Stegostoma tigrinum: one gene and its partner. The protein of the gene in region 1 interacts with the protein of each later gene in a pairwise test. Links are inferred from orthologs where the notes say so. Each region holds a gene or a part of one and is shown on either strand. Other genes may lie near its edges. The genes, in order: neuronal migration protein doublecortin-like and zinc finger and BTB domain-containing protein 5.

What was found.
Region 2: the proteins of neuronal migration protein doublecortin-like (region 1) and zinc finger and BTB domain-containing protein 5 interact in binary tests that used the Homo sapiens proteins (3 or more experiments, as listed by UniProt). The two-hybrid records come from large-scale screens. The link is inferred for Stegostoma tigrinum from reciprocal best matches to the Homo sapiens genes DCX and ZBTB5.

The regions. Positions count from the first base shown.
Region 1 is NC_081368.1:24,971,926-24,979,221, forward strand, and holds the start of neuronal migration protein doublecortin-like, read right to left. Parts: upstream 3,056-7,296; 5' UTR 2,718-3,055; exon of another isoform or gene 2,700-2,717; intron 1-2,699. UniProt on the Homo sapiens protein: Microtubule-associated protein required for initial steps of neuronal dispersion and cortex lamination during cerebral cortex development. May act by competing with the putative neuronal protein kinase DCLK1 in binding to a target protein.
Region 2 is NC_081356.1:12,640,903-12,648,025, reverse strand, and holds the start of zinc finger and BTB domain-containing protein 5, read left to right. Parts: upstream 1-4,102; 5' UTR 4,103-4,348; intron 4,349-7,123. UniProt on the Homo sapiens protein: May be involved in transcriptional regulation.

The DNA of each region.
Region 1 (7,296 bases):
ACACCAACTGCTTTCCCATTAATATTATTGAGCATGAAACTTCCAAACATTCCCCTTTATATCTCTAATGTGCTCACACTACTGAAATTACTAGGTAAAAAGCAGTAAATAGAATTATTTAAATACACTTATCAATTAATTAAAAGTGTAGAAATCAGTTTTCATTTAACCCAGGATACATATTCACAACTCCCAACATTTACCTCTATGCTGCATTCTGCCATAATCCTTCCAAAATTAATTTGTTCTCATGTGAATGCCGTTTCATGAAATTGGGACAGGACATTAATGAACAGACTGTCATTTATTATATAAACATAATGTACGTTTCAATACATAATACAATGAATTATTTTTGAAGTTCAGTCACTGTTGTTATGAATGCAAACATGACACCAATTTTAATGGCCCCAAAAACAGTTGTTGATACGAAAGACTATTATTCTGCATGTAGTAATGGTGGTTGTGAGATTAGCATTAACCAGGTCACCAGGAAAGCTTCTTTACTTTACATCCACCTGAAAAGACTGACAGAGCCTTACTTTGGCATATCATGTAAAATTCAAACAATATAGATCTTGCTCAGCAATGATTTGAAGTATTATCCTAACTAACCCACTTAGGTCTCGAGACACCGACTCGTAACAGAGAAATAGGAACATGAGCCAAATTGGTACTGAAAATTAAATTTAGTGCACTGGTAGATCAAGCCAATATTTGGAAAGCTAATGCACTTGATTTACCTGCAAGATATGTCATTTTAGTGCAATACCATTATGATGACGATAGCCCAGGCCTCTTCTAAACTCATCCATCTACCAAATGCACTGATACTCTTTTCATCAACTTAAATTTAGCAGAACCACATCTATAGTACTGAATTCCCAGACAGTTATTGGGACTAGATATCAGAATTTAATAAGTGTTGATGTCATGTCAAATTTCCATCAATGATTTCCCCTGTCCCAAAGGCTAGATTGAAACACAAATTTCCCTCACACCTCATATGAGTGACCAACCTTCACCCATGTCTACACATTAGTAAATCAATGGGGCGTAATAAATGCGACTGTGCCTCCCTTCACCCAACACACACTTTGCAAGTGATGTCAGAATGGAAATCCTGGTTAATATTTCTCCTCCCAAGGTTGGGGACATCAAGGATTGTTGCTGTTGTGCTGAGATTGAAGAAGGCACAAAGATTGAATATGGATCTCTGCAGTTTACTTGGCTTTCTCTTGGTTAAGCTTCCAGTGGATTAAAACTTGAGTCTTTAATGACCTGTGTATAATCATAATCAAGCAGCACCCTTGCTTCTATGCATTATTAATGAAGCTCACAGTGAATGATGACAGGACTAACCCTCTTAAATTATGGTCAGAACAACTACATCTCCCTCTAAAGGCATGCTTTAATTCCATGTTGTGGGTATGGTTTCATGATCAACTCACACTCATAGATGGAACATCTTTCTCTGTAACATATGAGCAGGTTTTGGAGTGAAACGTGTTACGTGATTCCTACCCAGATCCAGGATCATTGACATCATGGACATTTAAAGTGGTGATGCTGGGTTCACCTTGCGATGAGCTGTTGTGGGATCTGGACTTGACAGGCTGGTGCAGCAGAGGGGTTTTTTTGTTTGTTTCCCTCAAGTGGATTATAGACGAGAATTGGTGGGCAGTGCAGAAATGCTGACCTGTGCTGATCTAAATCCGGGAGTGTTGTGAGTGACCCTGCCTGAGGGAGGGAGCACAGCGTCCCAAAGCGACACCCTCTATTGAAGTGAAAAATCAAAATGTTAATTTTCACTGCAGCCCTGCAGAATGATGTGATCCTCAAAGGTGACCGAAACTAAAACACAAATCTGAGAAAATAAAATCACGAAAGTCATCGTTTTGTATATATAATCCCAGTTACAGCTGGAAATCAGAAACACAAGGAACATTTTCTCCTGACCCCATGCCTTAAGGTAACAATTTCTGGGGAGTGGCTTCTCCTCGCTCTGTGCAATGTATCTGATATAACGGTTTTCACATAAAATGTATTATTCATAAACGGCTATGTAAAGAAAGGGCAACTGAATACACAACACGGAAGGCTCATACTAAACACTTGTTAACAAAGGCGCGATAAATGAATCATTAAAAGCCGTCTCATCAGTTACTGTCAAGAACATCTTAACAAAGAGAACTCAGTATTGCGATTTATTGAACATCGTATAATTTAAGAAAATATACATAACGCTTGCTGACAAACGGGATTGTCAATTCGTTTATATAAAATCCCATGATCAATGGAAAAAATTTGTAAGGTGAAGCGATCTGCTTGAAGGGAAGACACTATTGTCTATTAACACTTATCTGCAATATGTATTTAACAATAGATTGAATGGGAAATGTTAACTCTCAGGCGGTAATCCTGAAAAAATACTATGGAACGACTCGTTAAAAAGGTGAGGAAACATCAGGTATCTAGCAATGAACTCGAGCTGTAGAATAAAATTTGAGAAATCTTATCGTCTCCATGTATCAACTGCAGAGACACTAAAATAAATCACTTTTCAATGAACATCGACTAAAATATCTTACTGCAGAATGCCAAACCCGAACTCGATCAAAGTGCTACAGCAATAGTGCACGTATGTCTATACAGAGATAGATAGAGATTGCTTCTTTTTGTCTCTGTCTTTTACTTACAGCAAAGGAGCAACTCACCAAATTGTGTGCAGTGTGGACAGGGTGTGGATGCAGAAAGAAAAAGACAATCCAAGCCTGCTTTTGTTGTCTGCGCTCTGGCTGGCCAGACCCACAACGGGAGAAATCGTGGCTTCTCTGGGTCCTATTGCGAGTTGAAGCCGTCTTCCACTAAAACTGTTGCAAGCGAGTCCCACGTTTCCCGTTCTAGCGCCTCGCAGGGGTCGAATGAATGAGAGACGAAAACACAACATACATTATATATATACCTGTACTGCAGCGGTACCCAAAATGGACCTCAATTCTATCAGTCAGCACATTGGGCTAATTGTTTTATGGTCGCATGTTGTAAAGCAATATCGAAGAAAACGAGACGTATGGGGAATGATTCCTTCAAATCAGAACAATGTTTCTGTTGTTTGCAGAATATTTCTGTTGCCTTAGAATTCTACATTCTGCTACTGCAGAAAGAAAGGCCTTCTCACACCTCAGAATATAACAAAGCAATTCATATAATATAACTTATAAGTACAGAGGCGAGCAGAATAAAAAATGTAGTCAGTTTCTTTGGATTCTTTGAATAGGCTGTGGTCAGCTACCCCGAAAACACACACACAAACACTCCAATATTTCATGCTCAGGGTAACGAAACCTGAGCTGTGACAGTATAACTTCATCCCAAATAGCTCCATTTGCCTATCACATGTGAGGCATGTCTCCATCATATTTACAAAATATGTATCCAATGGCATCGAAGGAGGTTCATTGAAGTCTTGCATTCCCTCTGCCCCCTCCCCGCCAGCGGGTGGTAGTGTTCGGGGGAGGGGTAGGGAAAGTTGTGGGGGAAGGGACTGGTAAAAGAGAGAACGATTGGGAGAAGGACAGAGAGTTGTGAGCGAGAACAGAGTTTGGGGGAGGCAGTGAGAGTTATGGGGGAGGAAGACGGAGTTTGGGAGAGGAATTGGGTGGGGGAGGGGAGGTGAAGAGAGATTTTGGGAGAGAGAGTGTCAATCCCAACCACTTTGTATGAAGGAGGCTCTGTCTCACGGATTGAGACACGTTCTCCAGTCATGAGCGTTTAAACATTCACACTCGCCTTTAATTAAATCCGCAGTACGGAGAACAGGAAAACTGACAGGAGACTGATTTACACTGAATCACCGCCCCCAAGCGATTCCCGATTTGATACAAACAACCTGGCGTTTGCCTAACACCTAGCTCGGTAGTATGTGAGGTGGGAGGTGGGACCCTGGAGGAGTGTTGTAGTCAATAGAGAAGGGGACAGGCTGGGGAGCAGACATTTAGATCTCTGCGGCGCAGTGATTAAGGAGACATTGGAAATGCAGGTGGGCTGGTCACTGTCTAAACCACCACGTGTCAGATCCTGCTTCTTTTTATTAAATAAAACTGTTAACGATATGACAATTAACAAAATAAAGCATTGTCGGGTTTACTCAGGGAAAGAGGCTCTTTGAATATCTCACAAAAACATCTGACTGCAGCAAAAGGAGTGGAAATTTTATTTCTCTTTTTGGCTTCAATCAAAAGGCACTAAAAGGGCTTGCTCTCTCATTTCATTCTCACTGCGACTGACACATATTTTACAAAAATGTTACTGCCTGATGAAGTTGTGAGCGTCATTATGCTGTGCGTTTACTGAACAATGAGATTATGACCCAATATCAACCAATCTTTTGACGTGCAATTTTTATATAATGTACGCCTCTATGGCAGCGTGTTTAATCGTTGCTTCCAGCCTCTTATATCATTGCATTTTCATTAAAACAACATATGCTGTTCTAGATAACAAAGTGTGAGGCTGGATGAGCACAGCAGGCCGAACAGCATCTCAGGAGCACAAAATCTGACGTTTCGGGCCTAGACCCTTCATCAGACAGAACATATGCTGTTCTCTCGTGTTTAACTTTAATATTAATACCTGCATGCCAACATTTACACTTTATGGATTTCTTCAAGGTAATTTTATATAATAATGCAAACCACGTCTCCGGTCATAGAATTTAAGACCCTCAGAGAGTAGGTATGGATTTTAAATCACTGCTTTATTGTTAGTAAATCTCAATCTATTGAAGTTGCATCTGTTCATTGCCAAAATGCTTCTAACGTGAGCGGGACCATCCTGTTCAACTTCTACCTGAATTGTAGCAGACCCTCCCCGTCACGATGTATTGTTGCTATGCTTCAGCATTCAGGCCCGTGAACACATGGAACGGAAGAAAAAGGCAGCTTCATCTCAAGCTCAACGAGGAATGAGAGAGAGACGTGACCTCTGTTGGTGGGCCTGACGTTGCCCCCACCGGCCCCAAGATCACCGAGCAAGGTCAGCCTACGGCTGTGTCATCTCAACAAGAGCCCCTTACACTGCAGAAAGTCCCAATCAATCAAGAAGCTAGCAAATTTAGATGGAGCACCTCGGAGTCACTGCAAAGGAGCCTAGAGAGAATACATTGAGTGGAGTTGATGCAAGACTGGGGTCTCTTGTAGAAAGTGTGCTGAATCATCTGGAAATGGTTTTTGTGAAATCTTAGAATATGAACTAGAATCTGCGTCAGACATTCCTAAATTATGTGTCTAATTGGAGGCAGAAACGGTCATCTCATTCCGATCATCATGTCCATGGTCACTACTTTTCAAGGGACATCTAACTGAGTGAGCTAATGGACACAAACACGAGAATATAGGTTAGAAACCTTCCCCGTGGTAGCAAATCTTTAATGTGTCTAAAAATTCTCTGTCCAGAATTGTTAATAACTCAATTTAAAAGAAATGAATCAACGGCTACTTTAAAACAGTGGTTTTACGATCTGTTAAGTGCACTGGTATCAGTCTTGCCTCTCAGCTGTGGATTCAAGCCCCATTTTGAAGCATGAAATCGCGGATAATTTTCGGTGCAATTCTGACCGAATTAATTTTTCTTTTGAATTAATTGTTAAAATGGGGCCAAGCCTGCACTCCAAGATGAATGGCAAAGATCCAATGACACTTCATCATAGAATACCAGGGGAGTTCTCCCTGAACACCTAAAAGCAAATAATTATCACACTAAACAAACAAAGAATTGCGAATGCTGGAAATCTGAATCAAAACAAATTGCTGGAGATACTCAACTTGTCCGGCAGCATCTGTGCAGAGGAAACAGAGTTAACACTGAAGAAGGGCCATTGAATTGGAAACGTCAACTCCGCTTTCTCTCCACAAATGCTGCCAGACTTGCTGAGTTTCTCCAGCACGTTCTGTTTTTGTTTCATGATCACTGTTGTTTAGGGCATAACACAGTATGGAGCTGGAAGAATACAGCAGGCCAGGCTGCATCAGAGGAGCGGCACTTCATATTCCGCCTCGGGAGCCTACAGCCCAAAGCTTGTTGCGTGCAAATTGAATGTCGCTCTTCCACCTGATGCCTCTCCATTTGCTTACAATGTAGACTTTCTACTGTTTTTGTTACATTTCAGAAACATTTCTATTATCTGTTTGTGATAATCACCATTGGATGTTTTCTCATACGTTATGAAGCACGTTTATTCTTGTTTACTTAATATCCAGCAAAGATTGTTCCTAGAGTAAATACCTTTTCTAGTTCCAACACCAAGTGTAAAGCCAGCCTGTATTTTAGCAACCTCTGCTTCAAATTTCTTTTTATTATAGTTATTAAGGTCGCTTTAATGAGATAACTAAATAATCTTTAAGTTTGTTAGGTAATATGACTAATGAATGCCTCAAGTCAATTAGTATGTATATTTTTGTACATATTTGATTTCTGTTATCACTTCTAATTCCTCCAAGGGTTTTTAGATGTTTTGTTGTTACTTCATCTACGACTGGAGCTATTCCTGAACTCAATTTGCCTTCATTCTTTAGCTCTCAGCTCTTTATCCATCTTTATATCTTTATATCCTACTTTATATCTTGAGGTCTCCTTCAATTTAGATTATGTTACAATTCACTCATATATTTAGCCCTTTGTTTTCTACTGAACCCAATTAAAACATTATTTTACTCTAATGTTAACATCAGTTTTTAATCCTTCTCCCTACAATCAAAGATTTAACCTGGCGCATAATCTTCATTACAATTTACACTGATACAATGGATCTTTTGGTTGGTCCCTCATTTTGCATTTGCTAATTCCTGAATAATCCAAATTACATTGAAAGGGTGTGGCAGAAATAATGCAAAGTGACACTGCCAGAACTGTCCTGCTGTAAATCCCAAATGGAAAATAAAAGCATCTACCTTGGTGAATTTTTCATGATACAACTCTTTTAAACTGGCCTTTTCTTTTCTGGCACTTCTGCAGCAATAGTTTGGGTATGTTTGTTACTAAAGTAAATTCGGCCTGAAATCTAATAGATTCAGTGACAATCAATATTATTTTCTCCTTCATATCAGGTGGCACATATTGTTGATCCAAGCATACATTATTAGCTCAGTACAGGGGTTTTTCCATATCTATTTTCTGTATCTAAAATATCTGCAGATATTTTTGTGTATACTGTTATACATTAATAGTTTAAATTGGATATGGTGAGAGGACAGAGCTTTGATTGGCTCAATAGTCATTTTCAAGGAGAGAAACTTC
Region 2 (7,123 bases), on another chromosome or scaffold:
CCAGAAAGTGAACTCTACCTGCTATACAAGTACCGTGGCTACAAAACCAGGTCAAAGGATAGTAATTGATCTCATAACTCTCCAATGTTTGGGTGAAATGGTGACATCACAGAATTGTTCTGGTGCAGAACGATGCCCATTGTGCCTGGACTAGTTTGTTAAATGAGCACGGTTATTGTCCTCGATCACAAACTGCATCCAAATGTTCCTTCCGATTCAGTTAATTGTAGTTAAGAGAAGATTCAACAGCATTAATTTACTTAAATATGAGCATTATTAAGTAAATAATAAGACGAAAAAGAAAGGAAAATAAACAATAAGTTTGATGCCCTTCTGCCCACTGAGGACTCCTCAATCGATGGCTGGTCTGGAGACTTATGTTCACTCCTGGCACTGTTCACAATCCCGACCTGAGGGGCAGTCCAACGATTTGGAATGAAACTGTCTCTCTTATACAGTGTAACAAACAGCCAGTACAGAAAAATAAGTTGATTGTGCTGTCTTTGCACGTACAGGAATGTCAATCACCCTCACAGGACTTATTCAAGGTCATGCTGCTGTCGAATATCATCATCAATTTTAACTTATCCTATACAGTCCAAGCCTGATGATATTTGACAGCGTATGTTACAATTACAAATACAGATGCAAATCAGTGATAGCCACACAAAAACGTATAATAGTACGTCTCTTTAACCATTTGCAATATATTTGTATTGTTCTGTACCAATGCAGTAACTAAGTTCTATTCATTAACTGTTTTGTTGTATTATATATCTTACAAGCCATTACCATTTGCCAGTTTGCAGTTGTACTGTGTGTCCTTTAGATATGGTAAACATATCATGTCCCTGTGCTAACCATTACCCACAAGGCATACATCTAGTGGTATAGTGTGCAAAGACACATTTGTTTCCTGGTTGACATGCAAAGTCGCCCTGCACCCTTTCAGTTTCTTTGTGCTGTCCATGTCATGTTCACACTCCAGATATGTAAATTAGTTGCCCACGTCATCTGATGAATCATCCACAGCAGCGTCCATCCATAAAAAGTCCACATGGTTCTGTGAAGAAATCATACCTTATCAGTTTACAATCTTTGACAATGCACTTCCTTTTCGTTAATTTCCCTCTGTCTATACATTCTGGAGCTTCCTGTCCCTTTATCAATAGCAAATATGTATCAGCTTGTCCATGGGTAAGTATTTCATCAGGCTTAGACAGGCATTGTGGTTTCCCCTATACAAAGGTCATTGGGCTTTGTAGGTTTACTAGTAGGATGTAACTAGGAAGGCCACCTCCCTTAAACATTCTACTCATGGGTGACCCTCCTTTCAGAGGCTGATTATGCAGCTTGGGCAATGCCTGCGGCCACACTTTGAGCCACCCCTATAATGTATGATTAGGTGTCCATAATTTATTTTGTTGTTTTCATAACTCATTCATTCGTTCTACAAGGCTGCTTGAGGGTAATAGGGAATGTGAAACATCCCAGTGTCTGCAGTCCATTGCGACACCTGTTGACCATTATCAGATGGTATTTCTGATGGTTCACCATAGTAGGATATTAAATGCTCTAGGTCCTTAACAGTATCACTGATTCGCTTTGGTCGTCAGGAAAGCTCACATTAGCCCAGAGTAAATGCCCACCATGGTTAACGGATATTGATGTTGTTGTTGTAACTGTAATGGGCCAACATTGTCAATCTGCTAGATTTGAGCAGGCTGATCTCATTTGATTTGTGCCAATGGCTTTATCGGCAGTGGTATGTGCTTTACTTTTGACAAATTTCACACTTGCCAATTACTTCTCTCACCAGATGAGCAGATAAGTGCAAACCTTTATCTCTTGCCCAATGCACAGTGCTGTGATACCCTGAATATCTTGATTTTTCATGAGCCCATTTTTCAGTGTGATACTATTCGGATACATCTTCTGTTCATCATCAACTACATCAACTGTTCTGGCTTTTACTATTCCATCTACAGTTTTGTTGAGATCAGCAGATCCTTCATATGGGATCAACATGGTGTTGGACCTTTGCCCATATTTGTTCCATAGTTCTGTTCCCCACGGGGGCTTTCCAGCAATCTTCCAGTCTCATGACTGCCAGGTTGGCATCCGTACAGCCATTTCATTGGCCACTGCCACGAGTCAGTATAGATGTGCAGATACTGGCTCTCTTCTTCTAGTGCTAGGACCACAGCTGCTAATTTGGCATACTGGCTCATTGCCCCATTTCCATCAGTATGGATAATCATCTGCGCAAAAGGATTAAATGCACCTGCTCGCCACCACCTTTGGCCAATCTTCCAGGTGGCCGATCCATCAGTGAAACAAGCAGAGTGAGCAGTATCTTTGGGCAGTTGTTCAAATGGAATGCCCAATTGAACAGGAGGTGCGTATGGCCAGGTTGGAATTTGTTCACCTGATAGGTATTCAGCTATTTGTTCATGGAGCTTGGCAATCCCTTCCTTTTCCTTCTTGGTTCAAGCAGCTGTGTATCATTTGCATTTTACAATGGGGCTTTGTTGGGCTCTACTGACCTTATGTTTTGCAATATTGGACAAAACCCACATTAGAATTGGTAATTCAGGTCTGAGGAGCACATTGTCCTCGCCCGCCTGCTCTTCAATCTCTACTAAGGCCCAGTAGCAGGCCAGAGGTTGCTTTCCAAATGGTATGAAATGTAGAGCTGCCTCAGTCAGTTTTCTGGACCAGAAACCCAAAGGTATTGCTTTCCTATTCTGTGTCTGTCATAAGCTCCATGTGGCTACATCTTGTATTACTGATAGTTGTAATTTAAAGGAAAGCCAGGTATCCAAGGTGCCCGAGGAACTGCTAGTGCTATCGTCTCTTTAGCAGCCTTAAATGCTTTCTGCTGTTCATCACCCCATTCAAACACAGTCAAGTGAGGTATATGACTGCACCAATATCCAAGCATATATGTAAATTCCTGTGCCTCAGTTTTGCTCATTGGAACAGCAATTTCCTGTATTTTATTCTTTACTTTTTCAGGGATGACTCTATTCCCTCTTGTACATCAAATGCCTAAAAACTGCACTGATTCCACTGGCCCCTGTATCATCTTTAGGTTCACTTGGTAGCCAGTAGAAGGTATGTTAGTGGCCTTCCCACGTAAAAGCAAACTGAGGTTGTGATACCGGGGCTATTTACTTTTGCCATCCTTGCAAATTGCTCTTATACTGGCATGGGAAATAAGGATTTAGGACATGAAGCCTCTGAGGCACAAGACACACATACAAAAGTGTTTTTCCTCTAAATTACCAGTCCTTGGAAATTAAGAGCGATTTATTTTGTTCTTTCTTGGAGTGTGAACACCACTTGTAAAGCCAATGGGTACTGTTCCAATTCTGAGCACGGTAGGAAGAATTTGCGAGCTTTCGTAAATGTACAGAAAAGGTATGAGAATGACTTCAGAAATTAGGAATTTTCGCTTCATGGATAAACTGGGAAAACAGGAGTGTTCTCCTTTGAGATGGTCGAGGTGAGATTTGATAATTTAAAATCATGAGGAGAATGGACAGAATAGAGAGAATCTACCTACTACCTTAAGTGATTGACAAATAAAAATAGAGAAAAAAGGTCATCTTAAGCAGCGAGTAGTACGGCTCTGGAATGCAGCTCATGAGAATGTGGTGAGAACAGATTCATCTAAGGCTTACCAAAGAGCAACTGAATAAGCACATGAAGAAAAATAAACTGCCGGAGATGTTGGGGTAAAAGTCGACGTGGAACAATAGCTTAGTTGTTCTTGCAGAGAGCTAGCACTGATGCCAAAGGCCAAGTAGCATTCTTTTGTACTACTACCTTTCTTTGTGAAGCACTTGGGATCCCTTCTGCGGTCGTGAGGTAAATAGAAGCAAAGTTTTTTTCTTGAAATTAAACTTATTTACTCAACAGAAAAACAAAGACAACTGCATTGCACTTAAGATCTGATTCTTTACAGGTACACAGATGTCAATTAAGTGTGTGTTGCATTGATTGCCTTTGCTAACCGTGCGAAGTAACGACACAAACAGAAATAGGAACGAGGATACCAGGCTCTAGATGTCAATCCAAAAGTAAACGGCTTCCGCTTCCGGGTGAAAGGTGGCAGTTTGTCAGAGGCCGATGGGGAGGAGGAGGTGGTGCTCGTTGCCGGTCTCAGTCACAGCTGAACAAAAGCTGGCGCTTGGCCCAGTGTCGAGCAGTTTACCGACTCCGGGCCAGGTTTCCGGTCGGTTTCCGTTTGTCGCCCGGGAGCGGCGGCGGCGGCGGCGGCACGAGGCTCACACGCGCCCGTTGTTTTGTCCGCGAGCGCGGGAGGAAGCGGCGCGTGCCTCTGGTAAGGGAAAGCGCGAGCGGTGTGGGCCAGGCGCATGCGCTTAATGGGGTGAGCGCACAATAAGGGGGCTGCGAGCTCCGGGAGGTTGCACGTGATTCTTCCCCCCCCCCCCCCCCCCGGCAAATCCCGGACATCTCTCTGCAACTCCCTGTCTCTGCACCCCAAATCTCCCTCCATCACTTCCTACGTCCATACCCGTCTTTGTAGGGCCCCTTCCTCTCTCGTGTCTCCAAAACCCATATTCTTCAGTTCCAAGGTCCTCCCTCTTCCCCCCCCCCCCCCCACCCTCGCATCAACCCTTCTTCTCTAGGGTCCCCATCCTCCTTTATTCACCTTTCACCTCTCGGGTCTGCATTCTACGCTTCACTTACAGAGATCCCCCCTTACTCTTGAGGGTCTCCATTACCCTTGTATTGCTCCTTCTTTAGGGTCCCCGTACCTTGTAATAATCCTCCCCCTCCCCTTCACTTGCAGAGATTCCATTCCCCTTGCATCCCATCTTCAACCCGAGGGTCCTCATCCCAAGCTCCACCCCTTGTCTCCAGGGTCCCCCCCTGCCTGAACACATCTGCCTGACCCCCCCCCAACTTCAGTGCACGCGCCCCCATCCGCATCCCCTCAGTGCACGTTCGCCTGCCCCATTCTCCCCGGTCCACATCTTTCCCCCCCCACTTCCTCCTCCTTCCCCAGTCCACACTTACCCTCATATCCACAACCTGTCCTCTTCCTCCATCCATCAGGTAGAAGATACAAAAGCTTAAATATATGTGCCAGCAGATTCAAGAACAGTTTCTTCCTGTTATTAGAATTCTGAATTGACTTCTCAAATTTTCAGTTTAAATGTTGGTCTCACTCTTTGTGCACCTTCTCTGCAGCTGTAACATTGTATTCCTCGCTCCGTTCCATTACCGTAATGCACTTTGTATATGATCTGCCTATATTGCAGGCAAAACAAATCTTTTCACTGTAGCTAGGCATCCGAGAATAAATCAAATAAGAAGAAATCACCCCCCCCCCCACCTTCTCTTCAACCGGTTTCCTGTAATCCAGTTGGGCAATTCCTGCAGACCCTGCTACATCCCAAAGAGACATCTTGCATTCAGCTTCCTGAGTGACCACATCTGGCCTTTAGCCCTTTTCTGATTTGTTCACTTGACAGTTGTCAAGTGTGCGTTTAGTTACATCACCTTACTCTTACCTCTTTAGTTGTCCTAAAACGCACTTCACTGTTCTAGTATTTCTTTCAGTACATTGGCGTCAAAATTTTTTTGTTTGAGTGCTTTTGTAAATCACTTGGAATGTTTCAAGGTGCTATAGAAATGCGAATCATTTCTGTCCTTCTCATCTGCCCCCCAGTCCGACCCCCCCCCCATACACACACACAGCATCCATTGTATAAACTCCCTAAGCTATCTTCCAAAGTCTGGCCAGGATATCCCTGTGCATCAGGAGCATCCTCATTGAGGCAGCAGACCAGGCATCTCCCAAGTGACTACTCTTCTCCACATCACCGGGCAATCATGTCCATCTTTTCTCCGTGGTTCATGCTATTGCTGTCTGATTGGAGGACTTGAATTTAGGTCTCTAGAACTTGTTTGTAATCATAGCTCAAGTGCTGAGCCACTCTGTTAGACTAGGACGATCAGCCTCATCTGCCAGACATCCGCGCACCGATGTAAGCATCAACACGAGGTGGTTTTCTTTGTGATTTCAGTACGTTGTGTCCAGCTGGGACCTCGCTGGCATTGAGAGTCTCCGCCCCCGCCCCCGCTGATTTGGAGCTGTCATTGCAGGCTCTGAGTCCACATACCACGAATCCATGCAGAAATAGAGTATTAATGCAATGTTATTAGGCAAATAAACTGGATGCGGTCCATCCGCTTCAACGGTGCATTGCAAACTGAACCGACAATGACAAAGCATTGGGCAGTCATCAGAACCCGTGTCCACTAGATATTGGAGTGGTAGCAGCTCCAAGGCTCTTTGTATCGCAGTTCCTGCAGACAGCTAGAGCCAATGCTGGGCAGGCGCGGGTTGGAGACTTTACTGAGTGTGTGTGTTTTGTGAGAGAGAGAGAGAGGGAGAAAGGAGGGGGCTGGTGGGAGGAGATCAGGTCAGTGCACCGACAGGCTGGTGGGAAAAGGCGTTCGGCATCCTGTGCCTAAACTGCCAAGGAAGCGGGGGTGGGGAAGAGAGGAAGGAAGGAGGCAGCAGGCTACGTGTGTGAGCGAGTGCATTGGCCGATGGTGCTAATCTTTCATGCACCCGGTTCGCAAATGTAGATTCAGTTGCCTTTGCTGTCTTTGCATGGACTGCACGTAGGATTTCTCAGTGGACTGCCAGTGTTATTGCAATGTCGCACAGAATGGTAATGAACGAAGACTGACCCGCATCTTGTTCATGGGGAAATAAATATCCTCCTAGTTGGGACGCGATCCGTTTTCCGAACAGATTGTTTTCGCTGGTCCAGGCTATGCCACATACCTGAGTTAATTTGATCCACGAGCGAGCGGTAGCAAGGACTGGTAGCCCGGGGGTTCACGTCCTAATGTAAGTTAGTATAGTTTGAAGCTCAATAAGGTAAGAATGGGATTCTGAATCTTGCCTGAGAGCACTGCCTTGATTCTTCACCCACCCTGCCCCGTATCCGTCTACCAGAGTTGAATTTTATGCAATCGTTTTAATTTCTTTGCAAAATTTTTTTGACATTGGTGGACTGATGTAATTACAGTGAGTTAATAAGTATTGCACTGGATGTCTTGATTAATGTTTAAA